Macaca fascicularis: one gene and its partners. The protein of the gene in region 2 interacts with the protein of the main gene of each other region in a biochemical or structural test. Links are inferred from orthologs where the notes say so. Each region holds a gene or a part of one and is shown on either strand. Other genes may lie near its edges. The genes, in order: FKBP5, HSP90AA1 and AHR.

Region 1 (3,649 bases), on a different chromosome or scaffold from region 2:
ATGACAAAAGGGCCAGGCATGGTGGCTCATGTCTATAATCCCAGCACTTTGGGAGACCAAAGTAGGAGGATTCCTTGAAGCCAGGGGTTCGAGACCAGCCTGGGCAACAAAGTGAAACCCTATCTTTACAAAAAATTTAAAAAAATTAGCCGGGTGTGGTGGTGTGCTTGTCCCAGCTACTCAGGAGGCTGAGGTGAGAGGATCACTTGAACCAGGGAAGTCAAGGCTGCAGTGAGCCATGACAGCACCACTGCACTCTAGTCTGGGTGACAGAGTGAGATTCTAACTTGGGGGTGGGGAGTTGGTGCAAAATTGCTGTTTTTACCATTGAAAGTAATGGTAAAATCCATAATTACTTTTGAACCAATCTAATACATCTGAAGGGAATTTACTTTTCTCATCTCTCACGACATGTGCCTTTGGTGACTAGAACTGCCCTACTCAACCTTTGGATCCAAAGCATACTCAGCCTCAGATCAGATTGGAAATTGTTTTTCCTACTCTTGAGCCTCTTGGGTTAACTGTTCCTGTCCCCTAAAATCAAAGGGGCACGGCAGGCTCTTGATCCACCTGCATTCAGCGGGCTCTGCACACACCTTGGCATCCTGCTCTGCAAACTTCTTGAACATGTTGGCGTATATCCTGCGGTCCCGCTCGTTGTGCTCCTTGGCCTTTTTCTGGCACATGGAGATCTGCAGTCTTGCAGCCTTATTCTGGGGGTTTACTTCCAGCACTTTCTCAAAGTCACCCTTGGCTGACTCAAACTCGTTCATGAGCAGCTGGGCTTCACCCCTCCTATACAAGCCTTTCTCATTGGCACTGTCCAGTCCAAGGGCCTAGGAATAGATGGTTTATATTTTAGAAAGGATGAATTTTAATAAATTCAGCAAACAGCTTACCAAAGTTCTCTTGCCAAAGGAGATGGAAAAAGTGTATTTAAAAAATGGGGCTCAAGATAATTATATACTACTGATCAAAATTTACTACCCAAATTATTTTCTGCATTTAATGCAATTTCTAGAAAGATACCAAGGAGATTTGAGAGGGGGCTCTTGAGAAGTTCATTTTAAAGTTCATTGGAACAAGTAAGTGCCCAAGAATGGCTGAAAAAAAATGGGAAAAAAGAAAAAACTAAGAGGCATTGTCCTACCAGAGAAAAAGACAAACTTTAAAACTACTGAAATTAAGACTGTGTGGTTACTAGTATGTGGACAAACAGCTCAGTGAAACAGAACGAATCATTCAGAAACAGTCACGTGTCTGCATATAAAAACGTTTGAAAATGACAAGGGTGGTAATATGAATCAGTGGAGAGTTAACTTTAAAATAAATGGGGCCAGGACAGCAGCTATCCACGTAGAAAATAAGAGTTAAGGCTGAGTGCAGTAGCTCATGCCTGTAATCCCAGTACTTTGGGAGGCTGAAGCAGGTGGATCACCTGAGGTAAGGAGTTCAAGACCAGCCTGGCCAACATGGCGAAATCTTGTCTCTGTTGAAAATACAAAAATTAGCCAGGCATGGTGGCACGCGACTGTAATCCCAGCTAGTTGGGAGGCCGAGGCAGAATTGCTTGAACCAGGGAGGTGGAGGTTGGAGTGGGCCGAGATCATGCCACTGCACTCCAGCGTGGGTGACAGAGTAAGACTCTGTCTCCAAAAAAAAAAGTTAAATTCTAACCTCATATTGTAAGCATAAAAATAAATTCTAGATCAATCATATTTACATATAAAAAACCATAAAATGTTTCTATTGTTTTTTATTTTAAGATATTTAAAATCTAATTATTATTTTTTTGAGGCAGAGTCTCACTCTGTCGCCCCGGCTGGAGGGCAGTGCCTCAATCGCAGCTCACTGCAGCCTCTACCTCCTGGGCTCAGGCAATCCTCTCGCCTTAGCCTCCGAAAGTCTGGGGGTTACAGGTCACAGGTGTAAACCACTGTGCCTGGCCTCAGTTATTTTTATAATCTTGGTGTGGGGAAGTCTTTTCTAACTAGAAAGGAGAAGATAAATTTGACTACATAAACATTAAAACCTTCTTTAAAGAGAATGATATAATCAACAAAGCTAAAAGAAAATTGCTGGGGTGTGGTGGCTCACACCTGTAATCCCAGCACTTTGGGAAGCTGAGGCGGCAAATCACCTGAGGTCAGGAGTTCGAGACCAGCCGGGCCAACATGGTGAAACGCTGTCTCTACTAAAAATACAAAAACTAGCCAGGCGTGGTGGTGGGCATCTGTGGTCCCAGCTACTTGGGAGGCTGAGGCAGGAGAATCGCTTGAACTCGGGAGGTGGAGGCTGCAGTGAGCCAAGATTGTGCCATTGCACTCCAGCCTGGGTAACAGAGAAAGACTCCATCTCCAAAAGAAAAAAAAAAAAAAAAAGGAGAACAGGCTTCCTATTGCCAAAAATAGGGTTAACAGTGATGCTATATGACTGCTTCTGTCAATAGAAGACAGACAAATAATGTAGTCAAGGCTGTGCTGGGTGTGATACCTCACAACTTTAATCCCAGCTCTTTGGAAGACACCCATCTCTACAAAAATAAACTTAAAAATTAGCAGGGTGTAGTGGCATGCACTTGTAATCCCAGCTACTCAGGAGGCTGAGGTGGGAGGACAGCTTGGGCCTGAGAGTTTGAGGCTATAGTGCATTATGTTCATGTCTATGAATAGCCACTGCACACCAGCCTGGGCAAAATAGCAACACCTTGTCTCTAAAACAGAAACAAAACACACACACACTCTCTCTCCACTGTGTATGAAAAAAATGAAAAAATATGTATAAAATTAATAACCGGTCTTGGGAGACAGGATACGATAGGAAACACTGATCCACAAAATTAAAAAATAATCTCACAAAGAATGTACAAAATAGTTGCCTTGTTTTTCTTTTCCTTTTATGTCTACCTTTAAGATACATCCAATGATTAGTTTTTACTTTTACCCACAGTATAATATACACTGTTCACCCTGAGACCAGATACCTAAAATAGTATCAGCTGGTGTATATCAGAATGACACATAACGATACAGATGATAAACCATTGTTATTACTGTGTGTAAGTACTCAAAGACCAAAGAGAGTATTAATAAGACAAATGTAAAAATGAAAAGGCTGCTGATGCTCTGTGGACCTTTCAAATTATTTATGCATATCAGTGAATAAATGATTATAATAAAAATTGACCTACATATATGCTTTATATGAACAGTTGCAGTCTGTTAAAGTCCAGAAAAGCTTAAGTTAAATCTGCTCTTATTAAACTGAACCTGAGAAGTTATACATCTACTCTGATATATATACTACAGTTATAAGGAAGGTCACGGATAAAATTATTTAATTTTAATCAAAATTTTTCTTCAGAATGCATTATGACAAACAGTCCTAGGTATCATAAAAGTCTGGCTATAATAAAAATCTTGCTCAATTTCCCAATTCATACTGAGAAACAAATAATCCCAAACATTCAAATAAACAAAACAAAATGAAAAATCCTTCAATCTTTGGCTGAGAGGAAGCAAAAGACAGAGATGGAGAAAAGATCTGGAATATCTCAAGTCTATCTCACAGGAGACACGGCGTTACCTTGTCACAGCATTCGACAGCTTTGGTGTATTCTCTAAGCTTCAGGTAGCACATGGCCAGGTTC
Region 2 (3,749 bases):
ATCGGGCAAATTTTTCTAATTTCAGGAGAGATGGAGTTTCACCATGTTGGCCAGGCTTGTCTTGAACTCCTGACCTCAAGTGATCCGCACACCCCGGGTTCCCAAACTGCTAGGATTACAGGTGTGAGCCACCATGCCCAGCCAGAAGTATTTCTTTAATCAGTGACAGTGATTATTTTTCCTATCTATACTTACTCAGATATTCAGGGATTAGCTCCTCACAGTTATCCATGATGAAAACTCTGCGTACATACAATTTGATGTTGTTCTTTTTCTTTCTGTTTTCAAACAGGTCAAAAGGAGCACGTCGTGGGACAAATAGAAGGGCTCTGAATTCCAACTGCCCTTCAACTGAAAAATGCTGTAATAGAACAAACACACTAAGTATCAATGAACAATGCATTATAGCAGATATTTGGGGTGGTGGGATGATAATCTAAAGACAAGCTTGAAGCATCCATCAGTCCCTCACTCACCTTCACTGCCAAGTGATCTTCCCAGTCATTGGTCAAGCTCTTGTAGAATTCTCCGTACTCCTCATTAGTAATATCGTCGGGATTTCTGGTCCAGATGGGTTTTGTTTTGTTGAGTTCTTCTTGATCGATGTACTTCTCCTTAATCTTCTTTTTCTTCTTCTTGTCACCATCCTTCTTTTCTTCTTCTTCCTCATCAGAACCAACATCTTCAATTTCAGGTTTGTCTTCAGACTCTTTCTCTTCTTTTTCTTTTTCTTCTTCTTTGTCTTCTTTTTCTTCAGCCTCATCATCGCTGACTTCTTTATCACGTTCCTTCTCCACCTTCAAAAGACATGAAATCGCATCACTGCTGCACTCTAGAACTAAGTCATAGCGCTGCCCCACTACTTTCAACCTAAGGCCAAAGCCTAAATTACCGAGGATGAGAAGCAGCCAGGCAGCTTCTCATCAATATTTGATATATCTACTTAATAACCCGAGGAACCTTCACAGTTAGTAGAGCTTAGGTTCCCCAGGCTTCAGACTAGTTCAACAGACCTAGGAACTAAGGATGTAGTACAGTCACCCCAGTCACCTACAGACAGTAATTCACTCTGCAATTATGTAGAAACTTACAAAAAGAGTAATGGGATATCCAATAAACTGAGAATGTTTCTTCACAATCTCCTTTATTCTTCGTTCCTCCAAGTACTCAGTTTGGTCTTCTTTCAGGTGTAGGATAACCTTTGTTCCACGACCCATAGGTTCACCTGCAAGAGAAATAAGGAAAATTGACTCAATAATACATTCAATTTAGTGCTCAACGCCATGCTTAACCCTTATAACGTGTCTATGAAGCGAGGTTTGCCCTTACTACAGATGCAAAGGCTCCCACAGCAGATCTAAGTGCCTTGCCCAAAAGAAGTAATCACCAAGTCATGCCATTACACACTAATTCAGAGCTCTAGCTTGTTCCTGATCCTTGGGTAAACACACTTTCTGTGAACTTCGCCGCATCCCCAGGGGTCCAAGGGTTGCAACACCCCACCATTCCGCCACTGACTTAACCAGTGAGTGTTCAGGTACCTACCTGTGTCTGTCCTCACTGTAAATGATCCCCCTGCTGAGGACTCCCAGGCGTACTGCTCATCATCGTTATGTTTGGTGATCACAGTTACTTTCTCAGCAACCAAATAAGCAGAATAAAAACCAACACCGAACTGGCCAATCATGGAGATATCTGCACCAGCCTGCAAAGCTTCCATGAACGCTTTGGTCCCAGACTTGGCGATAGTACCAAGGTTATTGATCAAGTCAGCCTTGGTCATCCCAATTCCAGTATCCACAATAGTGAGGGTTCGATCTTGTTTATTTGGTATCAGGTTAATATGCAGCTCTTTCCCAGAGTCTAATTTACTGGGATCCGTCAAGCTCTCATAGCGGATTTTGTCCAATGCCTATTAACACAAAATATTAATTAAGCATACAGCCCCCAAGAAGTTCATATTGAAACCAAAATCCTATTCTGGGTTAATAAACGACTTACATCTGATGAATTTGAAATTAGCTCTCTTAGAAAGATCTCTTTGTTCGAATAAAAAGTATTGATAATCAATGACATCAACTGGGCAATTTCTGCCTGAAAGGCGAACGTCTCAACCTCCTCCTCCTCCATCGGTTGGTCCTGGGTCTGCGTTTCCTCAGGCATCTGGAACGACACCGCGCCGGTTTAAAACCCTGCAGAGCGTCTACAGGGGCAACACGAGATTCCATCGCGTCCTCCCAATATTTTTAAAGCCGGATTGCAGATTTGCGAAGTTTAAGTAAACCGAAAATAGAAGGGCGGCTGACAAAGGATGACCTCATTTCGGAGCGCGGTAACTACCACGAGCGTGTGCGCGCTTCCGGGAGGCCACTGCAGGCCCGGCCCAGTCCCGCGCCGCGGTCCCCAACCGACACCCCGTGTGCTCTCCCGCGCGGGCCGCGGCTCCGCCAGGGCGGCCTCCTCCGCCTGCGCCCCAGCTGGGCCGCCCGGGGGGCCCCCAGCCAAAGGGCCGCTCTGCTCGCGTGCGGCGCCAGCTCCGGGGCTGCCGCGGAGCCTCGGGGAGCAGCCGCCCAGCCCATTCCTGAGGCGGGCTGCGGAGACAGCAGCGGGCCCACGGCCTCCGGAATAGGCAGCGCGGCCTCCCGGGAGAGCGGCCCTGGCGGGTTCAGGGCTCCCGTTCGGCCCCCACAGCCTCCGCTCCGCGCCAACCGCCCCCACTCCCCAATCCACCTCCACAGGCCCTCACAACCGCCCCTCACACCTTGGCTAAAAGGCTGCAAACGTTCCACCGCACAGCAGCACCAAGACGCTGAAGCAACTGACGCGCCGCCCCCGCGCCTGCCTTATATAGCGACGGGCCCGCCCAGCGCGCGGCGCTTTTTCCAGAAGCCTCCCGAACCTTCCGGAAGAACCCTCCCCAACCGCCGCCGCGGCCGCGCGCCTGCGCCTGCGCCCTCGCCCTCGCCGTGGCCCGCCCCTCCCGCTGGCGCGCGCAGGCCCTGCTCGTGGCCCAGCCCGGGAAACCTTCCCTCAATCACCGCCCCGCGCCTCTCGCACGCCCCCGCGCCGACCTCAATGCGCCTGCGCGGCCTGGAATTCTCGGGAAGGTCCGGGCGCCTTCTGGGGCCGCCCGCGCTCTCTTCCCTGCACTCCCACCTGCCGAGCGCGGGCGGAGGGCACGCCCGGGCGTGGGGGCCTTTGAAGTGAGGTGTAGTTTGGTCACCCGGGCTGCGCAGAATGCGGGGCTGGGGCGGGAGGCGCGCCTGGAGGGAGGGCCGTGCGTGGACGGGGAGCGCCCCGGGTCTCGCACGCCTGGGAAACTACCGGAGCCGTCATCCTCACGGACGGCGCGCCCGCTGCCAAAAAACCCAGCCGCAGGCGGCGCCGGGATCGCGGGGCTCTGCTCCCTGGGGGCCTTTGGGCTGTTGGCTTCTAGCTGCTGCGCGCAGGGGACGCCGTCCCGCGGCCTGCGCGCTCGGGGAGTCTCCAGACCCACTGCTGGCTCAGGAGCGCTCCCTACCTTTGGGTTCCCCGGAAGCCATGTCCTTCACACTTCAGGATCCCTTAGCTTGGGAATCGGGCCCTTGGTGAATAAATTCATGCTTACCCAGCTACACCCGGCATGCTTTTTAAAAGCCCATCGTTTTGCCGATCGATTTGAGGTCTCCAAATTAAGTATCTAACACTTGACATTTTGGTGATTAACCTTCCCTAAAAGACAGGTTTGGTGTTTTTTTGTTTTTGGACAG
Region 3 (3,749 bases), on a different chromosome or scaffold from region 2:
ATACCAGCACTAGCCTTTTCTTACAGAGGAAGCTGGTGATATTTAAGGCATTTGTATGATTAGAAGCAATATATGGTGCTCGGTAGAGATCTGATAAACATCTATGCTAACAAAATAAAATGTGGGTGAATGGGAAAAATACTTTTGTTATATTGTAAGAAATTAATACAAGCATATTAAAGACTAAGAAAGTATATTAGGATAATCTAATAAAAAGTACATTTTACGCAAAGTAACTAAAATCCATAAACGTTAAACTGTATAATGAATACAAAATTATGGCATTTGTTTTTGTTTACAAAGCCACCCAGGTCCTTTTATAACACCCTAACTGAAACCCAGTATCTTAAAAACACATCAGGGAAAGCTTCCTGTTTTCTCACTATACACATAAAACCTATGACGTCCCTATTATATATGATGCTAAGTATATTATTGCATTAATAAACACATAGAACAGACATTTGTGATGCCTCCCAACTTTAACCATGAAGGACAATGTCAAATAAGACAAACATACTTTAATATAAGAAATCATTCTACAAAATTAAAAGTATTATAAACCGATGTCTCAAACTGCCAAGGTAGAAAACTGCTGGTTTGACAACATTCCCTTAAAACACACTCTACCATAAAACTTCCATATTTTAATCAGTCTATTTACAGATTATTATCCTCTGTTAATGCCAATTCACAAGTCTAGTTCTGAAGAACTATGATAACTGAAATTCTGAAAGGAAACTAAAATTTTAGAATGAAACTTTAAACCAATAACTGGTTTTAAATGTAAATCTTAAAGTGTTATTTTTCTGGTTCCCATTAGTGACAGTTGGAGTCTAAGCAAAATGCACACTTCTGATTTGGTCTGAGAAGACGTTTAAGAGTTCTTAAAATTGTTTACGAAAACTTGAAAAACATGCAGGTAAAGTAACTCAGAGATAAAACTAGAAATAAAAAAATTGGAACAAACACATGAATACAACCACCACACAACAGGAAAAGTTTCCAGCACGGATACTTTTTTCTGACACACAAGAAAATAAAGTATTTGCCATCTCACACAAATATTCCACCAAAATCAACTGACAACGACAAAAGCAAGTTTGTACTCACTCAATTAGAACAAAACTTGGAAGGGGAAAATAATTAGAGGTAAATGTTAAGAATGAAAACCACTCTCAAATGCAGTTCTAAATCTTTTATGTTACAGACTCTAAAGCCACCCCAAAAGTGATAAGCAAGCTTCCGAAAAAGATGTCTGAAGAATACAAATCCTCCACCGTATCCTGTCCGTTGCATCCACTCCCACCTGCTACCACGTCTATCCACTTTACCGATATGGTCACGATGAGCGCTACAAAACTGCTGCCAAATAAGTAAGTAAGAGCGCAACAGAAAGCCAGTAGGTGGGGACCAAAAAGTACCTTTAGAGGCACTCAGCCCCTTCGTAAAAGTCAGCACGTGTTTAGCTCTTTAAAACATCTCGCCCTACCAAACTCTACCAAGAATGAGAATTAAGACTGTCCTCTAACCTAACGCATGCGGATATTAAAAGTGGAAGGAGATTTCAAGACAGGTTTATACTAACTAATCCATTAGCCCAAGGCAGATCAGAGCTGTCAACAAATCAGGACCAAATCAGAGAGAACAAAGTTACAAATGTGAGAGGGTGTGTATGCACCGGTGCGGGAGAAGAGGATGGGTGGAAGGACAATTTTTAAAATGCAATCATTGAAAACGCGAGAATTCAAGTCCTCGGTCTCCCGACCGGCCTCCAAACCTCGATTCCACGGGCAGTGCCGGGAATGAACCTAATCCCCAGGATCGCAGGGATTTGGGGGCGGGGTGGGGCTGCCTCCCGCACCCGCGTGCCTGTGCGCCCAGCCCCCGCGATGAGGACGCGCTCGGGACACTCACGTTTTCTGCACCGGCTTCCGCCGCTTGCGACTGGCGTAGGTGATGTTGGCGCTGCTGCTGTTCATGGTGCCCAGCCGACGGCGGCGGCTACTCCCCGGGCACTGGCGGCCGGGTCCCCGGGACCTGGTGTCTGCCGGGACGACGGCGGCGGCAGGCGCCGGGTTCCGCGAAGCCGCGCCCGCTCCACCTGCGTCCTCTCCAGACAGTGGCGTGGGCGCTGCGCCTCCGCGCCTCGGCTACCGCAGGCTCCCGCAGCCCGCGCCAGTCCAGGTGAGCTGCCCGGGCCTGGCGCCGAAAGGGGGGGCAAGGGGCGGAGACCCGCGAGCGAGGCGGCGCAGGTGCCGTCTACACCGGCGGAGGCGGCGCGGCAATGCCCGCAGGTGAGGCGGCCCGGGCAGAGGAGGAACCTGGGCCGTCTATTTAGAATCCTGGCCTGGGTCGCTCACGGTGCCGCCGCGCTCCGTGACCGTAGCCGCGGCCCCTTGGGTGAGGGAGGCGCCGCCGCGTTGCTCCCGGGACTTCCCAAATCCTGGGTGCTTCCCGCCTGCGGAGCTCGGGGGCCAGCCACCAGTCCCGGCTGCTCCTAGCTTACGTTCGGCTACACGGCTGCCCCTGGTCTGAGCTGGCGGTCCGGGGCACGCTCTCGGAACAGAGCGTCGAGGGGACTCCCCAGCCGCTGCCTCCCGCCGCCGCGCGCACCGGCTGAATAGCACAAGCACCCCCGACCCCTCACCGGCCCCGCCCCGCCCAGATCCAGCGTAGCCCCGCCCCGTCCTGCTTGCCCCCGCCCATCTGGATTCCATTCCATCTTCCTTGAGGGCCCCACCCTCATCCCGGCACGTGATGACGTAGGACGTAACGACGCCCCCCCGCCGGTAGCCATCTTCGTGCATAGGCAAACTCATTGTAGCTAGACTATACAAAGTATATCAAGATATGCCAAATATAGAGCTTAACTTCGCCTGTTTGAGAGACGGTGGTTCAGCTGACTTGTGGCTAAGAATTACAATTAACTGGTAGACAACCAATGGGACTATATATTTTCCTAGTTGGGGAGGCTTCAGAAGGCCAGATTTCAGTTGAGACTTGAAGGCTAGGGGTTTTCTTGACCTTTTTTGGGGTGGGGGGAAGTCTTTACAATAGACAGGAAAATAGATAATAAGGGACTATTATGTGTTGTGTCATGGAGGACAATGTGGAAAAATATTGGGAGTAGTTAACAGTATTGAATGCTGTTGAGAAATTCAAATTAGAGGAGAACTGAAAATGTCATTCTTGTCTTCTCAGTGTGTAGTCATTGATAATTTTCGTGAATGCTGTGTTGGTGGGGTAATGGGCCTGCAAATAACATTGAAGTGGGTACAGGATTGCTGGAGATGATGAAATGGCATCCTCAAGCAGACAATTCTTCCAAGTTTAACTGTGGATGAGAGACACATCAGATGGTATGTAGGGGGAGTGAAGGGTTAAATGAGGGTTTTCTAGTTTTGTTTTGGTTTAGTTCTTTAATGGGTGATACTGAGCAGCTTAGAGGGGTGGAGATAAACTATGTAGGGAACCTGAGGGAACAGTTAAGGAGTGATATATATTAAGATAGCGAAAGCAGGAGGGAATGAGTGCCAAAGCATAAATGGGAGATTAGGACTAATAGTTTAGATACTAACAGAAACAGCACTTCCAGTACTTTGCTGTTCAGAGTACTCCACAGCTTCTTATGAGAGTTATAAGAAATGCAGACTCTTTGGGTGTCCATATTAAATCAGACCCAGAAGTTCACAAGAACTCCCAGGTGATTCAAATGTACATAAAGTTGGAGGAGCAGTTCTCTACCA

The links.
Region 1: the proteins of HSP90AA1 (region 2) and FKBP5 form a complex in vitro, tested with the Homo sapiens proteins (5 studies listed by BioGRID and IntAct, with this or other methods). The link is inferred for Macaca fascicularis from reciprocal best matches to the Homo sapiens genes HSP90AA1 and FKBP5.
Region 3: the proteins of HSP90AA1 (region 2) and AHR form a complex in vitro, tested with the Homo sapiens proteins (2 studies listed by BioGRID). The link is inferred for Macaca fascicularis from reciprocal best matches to the Homo sapiens genes HSP90AA1 and AHR.

The regions. Positions count from the first base shown.
Region 1 is NC_088378.1:136,110,775-136,114,423, reverse strand, and holds part of FKBP5 (peptidyl-prolyl cis-trans isomerase FKBP5), read right to left. Parts: coding exon 3,586-3,649; intron 837-3,585; coding exon 597-836; intron 1-596. UniProt on the Homo sapiens protein: Immunophilin protein with PPIase and co-chaperone activities. Component of unligated steroid receptors heterocomplexes through interaction with heat-shock protein 90 (HSP90).
Region 2 is NC_088381.1:170,187,674-170,191,422, forward strand, and holds the start of HSP90AA1 (heat shock protein HSP 90-alpha), read right to left. Parts: upstream 2,821-3,749; 5' UTR 2,762-2,820; intron 2,164-2,761; coding exon 2,002-2,163; intron 1,913-2,001; coding exon 1,546-1,912; intron 1,226-1,545; coding exon 1,092-1,225; intron 798-1,091; coding exon 477-797; intron 362-476; coding exon 196-361; intron 1-195. UniProt on the Homo sapiens protein: Molecular chaperone that promotes the maturation, structural maintenance and proper regulation of specific target proteins involved for instance in cell cycle control and signal transduction.
Region 3 is NC_088377.1:112,901,168-112,904,916, forward strand, and holds the start of AHR (aryl hydrocarbon receptor), read right to left. Parts: upstream 2,622-3,749; 5' UTR 1,983-2,621; coding exon 1,918-1,982; intron 1-1,917. UniProt on the Homo sapiens protein: Ligand-activated transcription factor that enables cells to adapt to changing conditions by sensing compounds from the environment, diet, microbiome and cellular metabolism, and which plays important roles in development, immunity and cancer.